Linked DNA regions of Caenorhabditis elegans. The protein of the gene in region 1 interacts with the protein of each later gene in a pairwise test. Each region holds a gene or a part of one and is shown in the gene's direction. Other genes may lie near its edges.

Region 1 (4,837 bases):
TTTGAGAAGGAGCTGAAGTTTTCTAACTGTTTTTGAAAGTGTTACCCCTCTATGAGTCACTGGGGGCAAACGAGAAGCGCAGTTTGGGCGACATTTTGTTGCATTATCAAATAAAAACGGTTGTCTCTTCTTTTTTATTATCAACCAATGCAGAGCCAACATTCTACCAAATTGATAGTAATGCAAGTACTTGCCGTAGATTCCCTCAAACATTTGAGACAAAGGGCCTAAATAGTTTTAATTGTGAAACAAATTAGACACGACGTTCGAAGTTTATTCTGCAGTTTTGGTAATGCGTTGTAATTTTGATGTTAGTCTAGAAACAAATGTTTTCTTTTTGAAATTTTGCAATGTTCTTCAGAATATTTCAAGTATGAAATTTCTAAATTGTACTTCAAATCATTTCTAAAACTCGTAAAACATTCGGGCACTACAAAGTGTTCCTTTTCTACTTTAGTATCACAATGTTTCGCACATTGGTGATAAATGAGCCGGGGCTGTCTGCCGTTTCCGACTCCATTAACTTGGGTCCATTATCCCATCGTTTCACTGTGTTTCTATCACATTTATTGGGGGAACTTCCTGTTGCAACAAAACCAATAAATTCGAAAAGTGTCAGGGCCATGTGCTGTTGGACATCTATTCGTGAACATTTTCAAAATTTCGATTTGTTCCTTTCCAGTTTTCCATAGATTCAATTTTAATTGAAAAATGAATGGGTGGAAACTTGAATTTAAAAAAAAGGAATTTAATTCAATTTTCAACAAGTTCAAAAATATTTTTTCCAACGTTTTGTTAATTGATATTTTCCAGAACTTTCTAAATCAAGTTACATTTTTTTTGAAAGCTACAACCTATTTTGTAGTAATTTGGAAATTTCTTGGACCTCGTTGTGATAATTTCCATAAATTTTGCTTAATATTTTTTATTGGAAATCACGAGACTTTTTCACACAAAATAAAATCTTCCAGCTGATTTCCCTGGTCCAATCTCTTTTTTATCACTTTCACACCTATCTCTTCATATTTTCATATCTTCATAAATCTTCATAAAAATTCATAAAACAATATCTCCATCATAATTATCATCTTTTATTATTTTATCAGGTGTCGAAAAGAAACGAAAACTGTGTGAATGACATGATAATCCATCATCATCACAAGCTTCTCTTCCCAACTCTCTAGATTCTCCTCTCTCATCAGTATTATTGTTTATTAAGGCGGAGACTTCGGATTGGGGGGCAGATTTCGAGCATCTCACACTTTTCTATGTTTATCTTTTAATTTGCGAACATTTTTGCGGGCGATGGCTTGTTGTCCAGGGCATGAAATCCATGGATTTTTATTTGGATTTTCAAAAACTGGCCTAACAAATTTTATGGAAACCGTACTATACATAAGTAAAACATTTATGAAGTTTTTCGTGTGTTTCTACATTTTTATTAAAAACATTTTTTATTATCTTTAAAAGGATGTTTTACTGCTCGACACAATTTTCATAGATTTTTGGTAAACTAGGCTAGTTTTGAATTGAGTATATATTTTGCAAATTTTCTATCCTCAATATGACTTGAATTTCCGTTTCTTGACTTTGATCTCAACAGAAATCTCTTCTTGAAATTTATTTTCAGCTCCAATGAAACAACTAATCTCTTTTTCTTTGTTTTTCACGAAATTTTTCCTATTTTGTTCTACACACAAAAAATTGTATATACTTTTTCTATTTTTAAATTTTCACCTCATTTCGTTTTGATTAAGTATTTTTCCGTCTAAACTAAATTTTTCCAGATCCGTTTCTCATCCGTGATCATATTGCGCAGATGCGTAATTGATCGTCCACCCCTACCAGTACAGTATCCCACGTCTGGATACAAACTTCTCTGATTTTTTTATTTTTATTCCTGGACACCGAAAGTAACCCGAAAACAGGTTACGAATGGACGTAATGGACTCATTCTCGGAGGTCGAGATGCCCAATGATATATCATCGGAGGACCATCTTTTGAAGGTGAGGCAGAGCTTTAAATTTTACGAAAAAAAAATACTTTAAAATTTTCAACGCATTTTCTTGCATATTGAATTCATTTGAAAAGTAAAATTTCGTTAAAAGTAGGAGAAAAAAAATTAAAAGTTCGATTTCTTTATTCAAACCAAAGTAGAATGTAGTTTTTTTCTAAACCAAAACGAGCGAAAATAATTTTATTTTTCAAATCTATTTGATTATTGAAAGTGCCTTTTTGAAAAATGCTTGAGCATTTACCCTTGCGCCATCAATTGTTTGCAAAAAGCTGTCAAAAAGCCCGAGAGGCCGAGTTTTCAATTTTGGCGCAAAAAATCCCGAATTCCACGCTATCTTTTTTTTTCTTTCGATTGACTAAAGACGAACGGCTGAAGTTTTTTTTCGCTGTGCTTCAAAGATTTATAACTGGAGGTGGAAAGAGTTAGTGTCGCACATTCAAATTCCGCATCGTTTAGTTTTTCTTATCGAATGTTTTGATCTGGTGGGGGACGACGAAGTAAATTGAATTGAAAACTGTGGTTATCTTGAAAAGAAGTTTGAAGGAGAAAGTGTAAAACTATTGATGACGGGAGTTTAAATTTCAAGAGATTTTAAGACATTCCCATATTTCAGTGTGCGAAAATTTATCATTAAAAAATATTAATTATTTCTATGTGCTAAGTACATTTATTAGCAAAAAAGCGCAGAATCAAGTTCAGACAACATAATTATATTGATCTTCAGAGATTTTGCACATAATTTTGAGAGCCATTTTTCAGGAAAAACATAAAAGTTATCAAAATTGGTCCGCTAAATGATGTGTAAAACCTTTAAAATGCGATACTTTTTAATATTTAAAAGATTCGCATGAGAAATAATTGACTGACACCTTAGGTTCCTTGTAAAATATTTCATTGTATTATTAGTAAGTATAGGTATTTCCCAGATTTCCTTGTTAAGGTACCGCAAAGTCAACACATTCATGGACACCTTTTTTTGTTGACTTACCCCATATTTCTCTTTTTGTTTCCAAAAACAATATGCGGACCATTGAATCCTCACGCCATTCACACACATTCCCAGAGCGCGACTACTAGTAACTTTGTTTGGCAAAAGCTGTTAGTAAGAAGAGAATGATTCCGAGTGCCCAATACCATAAGTGTTTCTCGAGGTGCGCATCTCGGCAGTGAAGAGCAACTTGCAAGTTCGAGTGCATTTCTCCAAACTTGGTTGTTCCTACACAACGATTCCTGTGCCATGTTCCTTGATCCTCTCAATTTTGGCAATTGAATCGATTAACGTCAGGTTTACTCTTCGTTTTATTGCAAAGTGGGCCGCCCGGAAGGTCGAGAAATCGTAAATTGACTCGGAATTACCAATTTTACAGTCACACTGAAAGCAAAGCACTTCTTTTTGGTAGAGCGGGTGGCCATTGATTGTCGTTAAATCGTTTGTGAGGGTCATTTAGAAAAATGGGCGCATATTTTAATTTTTCAGAATAATTTTGACAATTTTAAATAATGAAAATAACAAATTACATTTTTTTGAAAATCTTGTTTCACCTTTTTTGGTTTTTTATTTGTATCAAATTATAAACTGTTTTATTAAATTGCACTACGCAGCTGTACAAGATCGAATTGCGCGTGTACAACCATCGTTAAAAATATCTCCTAGATATCTTTCCAGCTGTTACTTTGCCCATTTTAATGATCAATAATTTAATTTCCAGGTCATCGAATCGTCGGCTGAGGAAGTGGATATCTTTTTGGAGAACTGCTCCTCGCTCTACAATTTAATCCTCGACTCGTTGCACAACCTCACCTCAAAAGTAAGTCTTATTTGTTTTATTGCTTGTGTCGTTTGGTTGCCATGGATCAAGTGAAACTGGGAGAGTAATTAGGTGTAGCTGGCCTCAAAAGAACCTCCTGTTTTTCTCGATTTTCTTCTAGTTTTTCTTTGAACAAAGTTTTTTGCTTAGCCCTCTGATATCAAGATCAAGTTTTGCAAACTTGAGGCAGTTGTCCATTTGATTGAGCAAGAGATAGCAATAGTTTAAGGGGTCATCAATTATCAAAAAGAGAAACGTTACGAGCCTGTCAATTGAACACAAGCCTGGTACGAAAATATTACGGCAGATGTGGTGATGGATAACTGAAAACATTCACTTGACAAGCCTTTTGCCTGTGCTTTAGGGAATTTTTGAATCTTCCAAATACAGTTTTTACATAAAGTTTACCAGAATTAATTTCTGGTTGAAGTTTCAAGACTTGTTGATCTAGGAATGATAAATTAAAATAAACCCTTCCCATTCACAAAAACATAGCTAACTTATTCTTGCTCTAACTAGTAAGTTTTGTTCACTCCATGAACTACATCTAAATTTAAGCGGTTAATCATAGAGTAAACAACAAAAAAAAACCAATTTTTGAAGGTATAAAGTTGTACTTCTCAATATCCGATGATTAAAATTTTTAAAAAGAAAGTATCCTCAAATCGTTTGCTCTTTTTCAATGAGATAACAAATGACCACTGCAACTCATCTCTCTGTGCTTCTTATCCTCCCACACTCATTCAATATACTCACCCAATTTTTGTGGCAATTGCCGTTTGTTTGGAAGGTCACCCATTAATCAAATGTAGTTGGTTGATTGTGCAACCTCTACTACTAAACATTTTGATGAAGATCCTTCATTTTATCTGCCACTGACTCCTGAGAAAATGCCACACATTTCGATTCAATTAGCTTTCCTAAATTATTATACCAAATAGTATCGAATAACATCTCGCCCCCCGAACCACAGAAAAGTGGCCCCCAATAGTGTGCGCAGTTTTGCCGTTC
Region 2 (7,934 bases), on another chromosome or scaffold:
AGACAAAGTTATAAATTTATAGAGATACTTTATGTATGTTTTTGAGATTTATTTTGTTACTAGATCTCAATTTTTCAATGGCATTTTAGTACTGTAGAGTGCAAGAGAAATCTAGCCTTATTCGAGAAATAAGTTTTTTACTGTTTATATTTTTTGATAAGTTTTTCAAAAATTTTGTTCGTTTAATGTACATCTTTTTTTTTAGTTCCAAGCGAAACACAATATTATTTTTCATACTGTAATACATATATTCGATTATTAATCAAAAATATTTTTTGTGTTGTTTAAAAAATTGTTTTTAAATTACAAGAAAAATTGCATGTCTGCAAAACTTTGATCGACTTCTGCAAATTTTTTAATAAGCTTCTACGAGTTTTACCCAACTGTTCTCTTGCATACGTAATTTAAATTTTTTCTCGTTTGATTTTTTTTTGTTATAATGACTAAAATGTTGTAACAAACCAATAAAAAAGAACACATAATAAAAATACCCAAAACAGAATTGGTTGGAAAAATATGCAATAGTTTGAAACATTACCCGAATTCTGAAAGGTTTTTAAAGTGAAGTAGCAAAATTTTTCAATTGATTGAAACATTAGAAAAGAGCCAAAACTTTCAAAAAATCTATACTTAGCGCTAAGACTGTCATTTTTTGTCGCAGCGTCTGGAAATGAATTGTTATAAAAGCATGATCAGTTATCACACTATTTTGTAGTATATTTTAAATTTATTGGAATACAAATGTTTCAAAATTTGAATGCCAGTAGAGTGCTTTAAACAATTCCGGAATAAAGACTCAAACTAGAAAATTAAGATGATAAATTGAAAAGTTGAAAAAAAGCCCGTTTCTAGATTTAGACTTTAGGAGAATGCGATTTTTAAAAATAATTTTCATCCGGCATAACTAAAAAATTTTCAAAATTTTCAAGAAATCACATTATGAAATTCGGCCATTTATGCTCATTTATAAACAATTGTAGTTAATTTTTGTACAATTTCTGTCGCTGAGTGCAAAAATAAGTAACCAAAGTCTTCAGAGCATTAAGGTAGTTTCGCCCAAAAATTTAAATTCTAGGTTTAAGCTTAAAACGAGAGCTATTCTTTGACAGTTATTACTCGCATGGTTAATATCAGTTCCTTGAAAATCAATCAATAACCCCAAAACCATATCATTTTATGTGACTAAACTTTCCTTCCAAAAAAAAAAGAAAAAAATGATCTGACTCATCAATTTCCGGTGATTTCCCCCGTCTTCCGTGCTCCACCCAGAACGGTTTGCGGAGGCATTAGAACAGTAGTCTCGCCCCGCATTTGTGTCGATTTTGGCTGCCGAGTGAACAAAAAAAACGAAACAGCACTCAATATTTGTGTCAGGTCAGCCACTCTTTCTTCCATTCTCTTCTATTTGTTTTTTGTTCATTTCTATTCCCTATTTCTCTCTATTCTCTTTAGTCCATTCTTCATTTCATAATTCTACTGAAACTAGTGTTACCTCTATCTCTAAACTCTCCTCTCAACCTGTACTATTTCTCTCGCGGGAGCCGAAAACGAAAACCTTATGAATATACAATTAGTTTTTCGACACCCTCTCCTAGTCGACAAAACGCAAATTTCCAAAATTGAACCTGTCGCACTAATATCTTGGAAATTTTGAAATTTACTTATTCCTGGTTTTGTTTAATTTTTGTTTTTAAAAGAAAATGTGGTCATTTGAGAACATTTTATTTAAATTTAAATTTTTAAATTTTTTCCTGTTTCAAATTGTAATTATTTCAACAATTTTTTAAAGGAATACTCAGTGAAGTATTTTTCCCCCTTTTTAAGTTATTTTCATGTTTGATATTTCCAACTCTCTAACATTTAAATTTCAGCAGCCACAATGGCTGAATCAGAATTGGAGAAGCTTCGTCAGGATATTGCAATCCTTACAGAAAAATATGAACAAGCCAAAGAAGATATTCATAAGGCAGCAAATGCGGGTTTAGAATTGCTCCGTCAAAAGGAAGATCTAGAGAAACGATTAGCAGAGATGCAGGCAGAATTGGATTTGGCAAGAACTGAAATTGATAAAACTAATCAGGTAAGTATTCGATTTCGAAAATAAAAATCGGAAAAAATATTGAAAAAAAATTAATGTTTCAAGTAAATGGTAAATATTCGAAATTTTTCGTACTATTTCATTTATTTTTAAAATATAAGCATGCAACTATCAAAAAAATTTTATTCAGACTTACGCAGGTAGGTAACAAAAATATAGGAAAATTTTTCACTTTTTTCGTTTTGTTGCAGTCATTCTTACCATTTTTTTTAAATATTTCATAAAATTTTGAACTGTAAAAATATAGAAAAATGAACAATCAACATTTTTGTCAGCTTACAATTTTTGATGAAGATGTATGAGCTGCCAAAATTGAGCTTAACAAAAGACTAGTAAAGTGTTAACAAAATTATTATTGAAGCTCAAGTTGTTCAAGTTGCTCTTATTTTCAGACTCTTGCTGAATACCGTTCCCAACATCAACGGTCCACTCGAAGTGAACTCGAAAATGAAGAATCTCTACTCGAGGAAAGTTCAGCAAAAGAAGAGGAATATCTACAGAGAATTGCAAAATTAGAAGCAGATCTTAAGAAAAAAGAACAAGAATTGGCAGAAAAGAAAGAAGAATTGGAAAGTATTGAAAAGAAACATTCGAAAGAAATCGATTCTGGAGCTGCATTAGAAGATGAAAGAAGAAAACTTAGAGCTGAATTAAAAGAAACAAAAGAAAGAGAACAAAGATTAATTTCTGAATATTCAGAGTTAGAAGAAGAAAATATTGGATTACAGAAGACTGTTGCAAATTTAAGAGGAAGTCAAGTGGAATATGAATCATTAAGAATTGATAATAATCGATTGGAAGAGACTATTGAAATTATGAAAATGGCTGCAGAGGAAGATGAAATATTAAGAGTTATTGCTGACAAACAGGTGAGACACTTTGAAAAATTACAACTCTCTCAGAAACTTTAACAAGTTTTCCTAAAAATATGTGAATAATTTCAAACATTTCCCTATTTGTTTGGAATTGCAACTGCAAAAACATTATGAAATTTTCATGTCTATTCACTATTTATTTTTGATCACGATTTGAATCGTAATAAATACAATACAATACAATACAAAATTTATTAGGTGATTGAAACAGTAAAAAAAACGAAAACTAGACAACTTTTATTTTAATTTTATAACCTGTTATTATTATTTTATAGCTCCCGTTTTTCATTGAAATTTTTGAACGGGTCGCCTCAATGTATATTTTCAAAACCTCAATTTTTGTATGAAAAACTTTCCAACTTATCATAAATATTTCAGCTCGAAGAAGCTCTGCTCACAGCTCAACAAGAACGGGATCAGCGATTGGCAATGAAAAGAGAATTAGAACAGACAAGAAATGCAGAGCATATCAGTAGTTTAAATGATATGCTTTTTGGATTGGAAAGGCTTGGGGAGGTTTGTTTTTTTTGTTAAAAAATTAAAACAATTAACTTTTAATAAAAGTTTGTTTTCCTATTTTAAAAGTTCCTGTGAAATTTTGTTAAAACACTTATATACAAAATGTCTTTTGTATACGTGAATTTTAAAAATACATTTGATAACTGATAATTTGAAACTAAACTTAACAAGTTGGGAAGAAAAAATTGCTCTTAAAGAAAAATGAGCTTCACATGTTTCGTATTCAATTTATATTGGCCAAGAGGAGTGTTGTAGGCTTGTTCTTTCGGTATCGATTTTTCTATTATTTAGTCAAATGTTATTTTAATATTTCTGTGTTCAAAAGGCGCATGAAATGGCAGAAACACTTGAATTAATTGTTGAATGAAAGTGTGGCACATGCTTTTAACGGACCACACGCTCAACACCAAACATTTTTGTATAAATCTTATGAAACAGTAATTTTTTAGGACGGCGAACTGCCACCTCCACAACCTGGAGCAAGTGACCTCTTCAGTGAATTACAAGGATCAAGTGATGTAAAAGTTCGTGAACTGGAAGCTGCAAAGGAAGGACTTCAAGAAGAATTAAAGAGCAGAGAGAAGATTTTCATCGAATTTGTAACCGGATTAGCAGACACCCTCAATATTCATAGACCAACAAGTGAGTTTAAATAGAACATTTCAGTTTGATTTGGAGTGTGATAAACCATTGAAGACATGGTGAAAAGTTATAACATTCAATTTTCACCAAATTTTTCAATGTTTCACATTCATTTCATATTGGTCAACGGTAGTATTGGAGTCTAGCGTAGATGTATGTAGTTTTTCAGAGTTTTCAGGGTTTTGGGTGAATAAAAGCTTCGCAAATTTCCTTTAAAATGAATATTTTATCATATTTACAATTAGTTATATTCAAAATTATTCAATTTTTAAAAAATTAGTTCCCCCGTGCATTCCCTAACAAAGTTTTCTTTACAGATGAGCTCGACTACATGCATGCTCGTCAACAAAAAGACGTTGTACTAGAGAAAATCCAGAACATTGCTCGTGACACTGACCGTCATGATAAAGAAGGAGAAGAAAAACGATCGGGAATTTTGAAGGCTGATTTGAGGACACTTGTATTGGTTGCTGGAGAGAAAAGTGCTCAGTTGGCAGCTGCTCAAGTTAGTTTTTGAATTAAATCATAAAAGTTTCATATTGCGAACCAAATTAAGAACATTATGAAAATGTAAATGTTGAAAATTCAGGACGCAATGATTCAAGTCTCCGATCAACTTTATCAATTCTACCATCAAATGACACAGAACCAAGGAGTTCAAACAGAAAAGAGTGTACAAGAGGTAAATTTTATTTTAATATTTATAGAAAATGAACAGAACTTTGTATATTTCAGATTGTGAAAAAGTTGCGTCTATTGGCTCGTGCCAATGCAGAAGACGTTCCACGTGTCTCGTTGGCAGATGAAGGAGTTGAAAGTGGAACAGAGACAGATGTTAATGCATCAAGATCAATTCCATTGAATTCCGATCGTCTTGTTATTGCGCCAAGTTTTGCGAAGGAAATTGAGAAAAAGTTGGCAAGTGTCAAGATTGGCGATGTGTTGTCAGAGACTGATTTGAGGCAAAGAATACTTACTGGTTTGTTTAGTTTTTGAATCGCAAAAAAGAGCTGGATACAAAACTTTTCCAAAAATGTACAAGTTTTAGAGAAGATGCTACAATTAAAAAAAACAACGAGATTTTACGAAAGACAAATAAAATTACTGTTTCAACCAACTTTTATCATAAATTGGGTTTATATTAGCTATTTGAGTCGAGGTTTCAACACTACATTGAATTTACTGTACTTACTGTATACTTAGTATACTTAGAATACTTACTGGTTTGTTTTTGAATCGAAAAATTCAAAAAAAGAGCTTTGCCAAAAGACAATTCTTCTTCAAATACTTCATTTGGTTGAAAATATTTGGAATGTCTAGCAATATTTAAATCGATTAATAGAAGCAGGAAAAATTTATTTTTTATTCGAATTAAATTTTTCAAGAATAATTATTAGTTTTAGAGAAGTTGCTGAAATAAAAAAAATTTTGGAAGATAAATAAAATTACTGTTTCAACCAACTTTTTTTTTCCATAAATTGGAATTCTATGAGCAGTATGTTTTTCAATATTGCATTGAATTTACTACTTTGTATCAAACATTCATTTAAGGTTTGATGGCGTTAAATTTAAAGAGTGATTAAGACTCTTGATATTAAACGTTACAACTTTCAATTTGCCAATATACATCTCATTCTCACATTCGAATATATTAAATACATTATTTTCAGAAGGAAATGCCATTTCCGAAACCACAGAATCGTTGAAAAAGATGATTCAAGTGGTGAAAAGAACCTCTGAACAAGCATTCAATCAAGCAGTTATGGCAAGTGGAGCTGAAAATGAAATTGAAATGCAGAATATGAAATTGCGAAGTCTTTTATCAACAAAACGAGATCAGATTTCAACGCTTCGAACTGTTTTGAAATCGAATAAGCTGACTGCTGAAAGTGCATTGACTTCAATGAGAGAAAAATATGAATCAGAAAAGAAAATGATGATGGAAATTAATGATAAAATGAGAAGAGAATTGAAACAATTGAAGGAAGATGCTGCCACGTTTGCATCTCATAGGGCAATGTTCACTGCAAGAGGAGAGGAACTCAAGTCAAAGGTATTTAGTTTTGTTTTGAAACAGTTAGGAATTTCTAATTTCGGGAAAAGTATAGCTTTTATAATATGACATACGGTAGCTCTGTTTAATTACTAATTCAAACATTTCCATTCCAGATTCCCTATTACAAAATAGATATACTTAAATTGTATCTGTAGTAGTTGAAACAGAAACTATTTTTAATATTTAAACTTTTTAGGGTTATTAACTTTTACTTTGAATTATTTTTCTCGTTGGAAAAAAAATCGTTTTCTCAAAATTTACAAATTTTTATTTGGAGTCAAGTTTCTGACCTGGCAGCTTAATGAAAATTTCTCAAGTTAGTTGCTTTCTCAACAGCTAAACGTTAACAGATATTGACTATAGTTTGACAGAAGTTGTCAAGTTTTTAAAGAAAGTTTCCCCCAAATGCCGAGTTGATAGATGCGATCATCTTCTAATTAAAACTTTCCGTAAATGAAATTACTGTTTCACAAAGGATTTATTTTGAATTGAACTTCATTTTAAGTTGATAGTCATAGGGGTATATCTAACCATTTTCTCACTTCTATTGTATCTGTAGCAGTTGAAACATACTTTTTTTTTAATTTTCATCTTCGTACAGTTTGTTTACTTTGAATTATTTTTAACATTTAAAACTCGATTTGTTTTTTACTTGAATTTAGTGTCTGAACTCTGAATTTGAAAAAAACATATGGTCAAAACGCAATATTTTATCACTTTAATCGTATCTGGAGTAGTATCTTCTGTAAATTTTAAAATCAAATTTAACAATTTTCCAGGTGGAAGAACTATCAAACGAGTTGCGTGCAAATGAAGAGGAAAAGAAGACATTAAATCAACTTCTTCGTTTAGCAATTCAACAGAAGCTCACATTGACTCAACGTTTAGAAGAGGTTGAAGTTGATCGGGATAGGCAGGTATTTAAGAGGAGTAGTACAAGAGCTCCAACTAGAGAGGTGAGATATTAAAGGTGTAGTATCGTCCAATGTGACGTCTTTAATGGAATCACTGATTAAAAACCATAAAAATTAAAACAGTCTTTTTTTTAAAAATTTTTTTAAAAATAACTTTTTTAAAGTTCTTTATGACCCATTTTCTCTAATTTGAAGAAAAATCTCAACAGACGATACTCCGCCTTTAATTATGTTCACTGTTTCAAAACATTCACAAAAAAATGTTGAAATTTCAAAAAGCAATGATTTTTTGATATACAGAACACATTGGAAGGCGGATTGTTTCTTTTGGGGAATTTTTTCGAAATTTATTTGATATGCCAAGAATAACAAAGAAAAAACGAAAAAAATTGGAAAATTTAGTTTAAAACGATAAAAAAAACCTTTTAACAAAGACACAAATCTTTCGCCAAACGTACAAAACTGCCTTTTTAATATGACAATCCAATCTTTTTAAATCTTCAATTGATTGGTATGGAAATGCAGAAAAAACTTTAATTTTGGTGAAAAGCTTGAAAAAATCTTGAAATAGTGCTCGAAAGTTGAAGTTTTGCCAAAAAACTTTACGCACTTTTAGCTACAAACGGCAATTTTCAAGCACTATGTTATGATTTTCTGGAAAAGTTTTCGACAAAATTAAACTTTTTCTTACTTTGAAAAATCCAAAAAAATTGTTTTTTTCTTCTAGAAGTTAATTTAATCTTCTCCGTTTTCAGACCTACCAGCCACCGAGAGCAGTTCGTTATCCGGGTTCAACAACAACAGCTCAACAGCCAGCACCTTCATCTTCG

Evidence for each region.
Region 2: the proteins of unc-83 (region 1) and bicd-1 interact in a two-hybrid assay, tested with the Caenorhabditis elegans proteins (one study listed by BioGRID).

The regions. Positions count from the first base shown.
Region 1 is NC_003283.11:6,463,278-6,468,114, forward strand, and holds the start of unc-83 (Nuclear migration protein unc-83), read left to right. Parts: upstream 1-1,787; 5' UTR 1,788-1,935; coding exon 1,936-2,007; intron 2,008-2,156; exon of another isoform or gene 2,157-2,356; intron 2,357-3,109; exon of another isoform or gene 3,110-3,290; intron 3,291-3,727; coding exon 3,728-3,826; intron 3,827-4,687; exon of another isoform or gene 4,688-4,837. UniProt on the Caenorhabditis elegans protein: Cargo-specific adapter that is involved in nuclear migration during development and thereafter.
Region 2 is NC_003282.8:6,566,274-6,574,207, reverse strand, and holds the start of bicd-1 (Protein bicaudal D homolog), read left to right. Parts: upstream 1-1,871; 5' UTR 1,872-1,879; coding exon 1,880-2,080; intron 2,081-2,490; coding exon 2,491-2,967; intron 2,968-3,351; coding exon 3,352-3,489; intron 3,490-3,749; exon of another isoform or gene 3,750-3,770; intron 3,771-3,863; exon of another isoform or gene 3,864-3,884; intron 3,885-3,941; coding exon 3,942-4,134; intron 4,135-4,451; coding exon 4,452-4,639; exon of another isoform or gene 4,640-4,657; intron 4,658-4,723; coding exon 4,724-4,816; intron 4,817-4,869; coding exon 4,870-5,113; intron 5,114-5,282; exon of another isoform or gene 5,283-5,304; intron 5,305-5,804; coding exon 5,805-6,187; intron 6,188-6,290; exon of another isoform or gene 6,291-6,311; intron 6,312-6,694; exon of another isoform or gene 6,695-6,720; intron 6,721-6,969; coding exon 6,970-7,146; intron 7,147-7,386; exon of another isoform or gene 7,387-7,407; intron 7,408-7,859; coding exon 7,860-7,934. UniProt on the Caenorhabditis elegans protein: Part of a complex with dlc-1 and egal-1, which is recruited to the nuclear envelope by unc-83, where in turn, it recruits dynein to the nuclear surface and regulates nuclear migration in hypodermal precursor cells.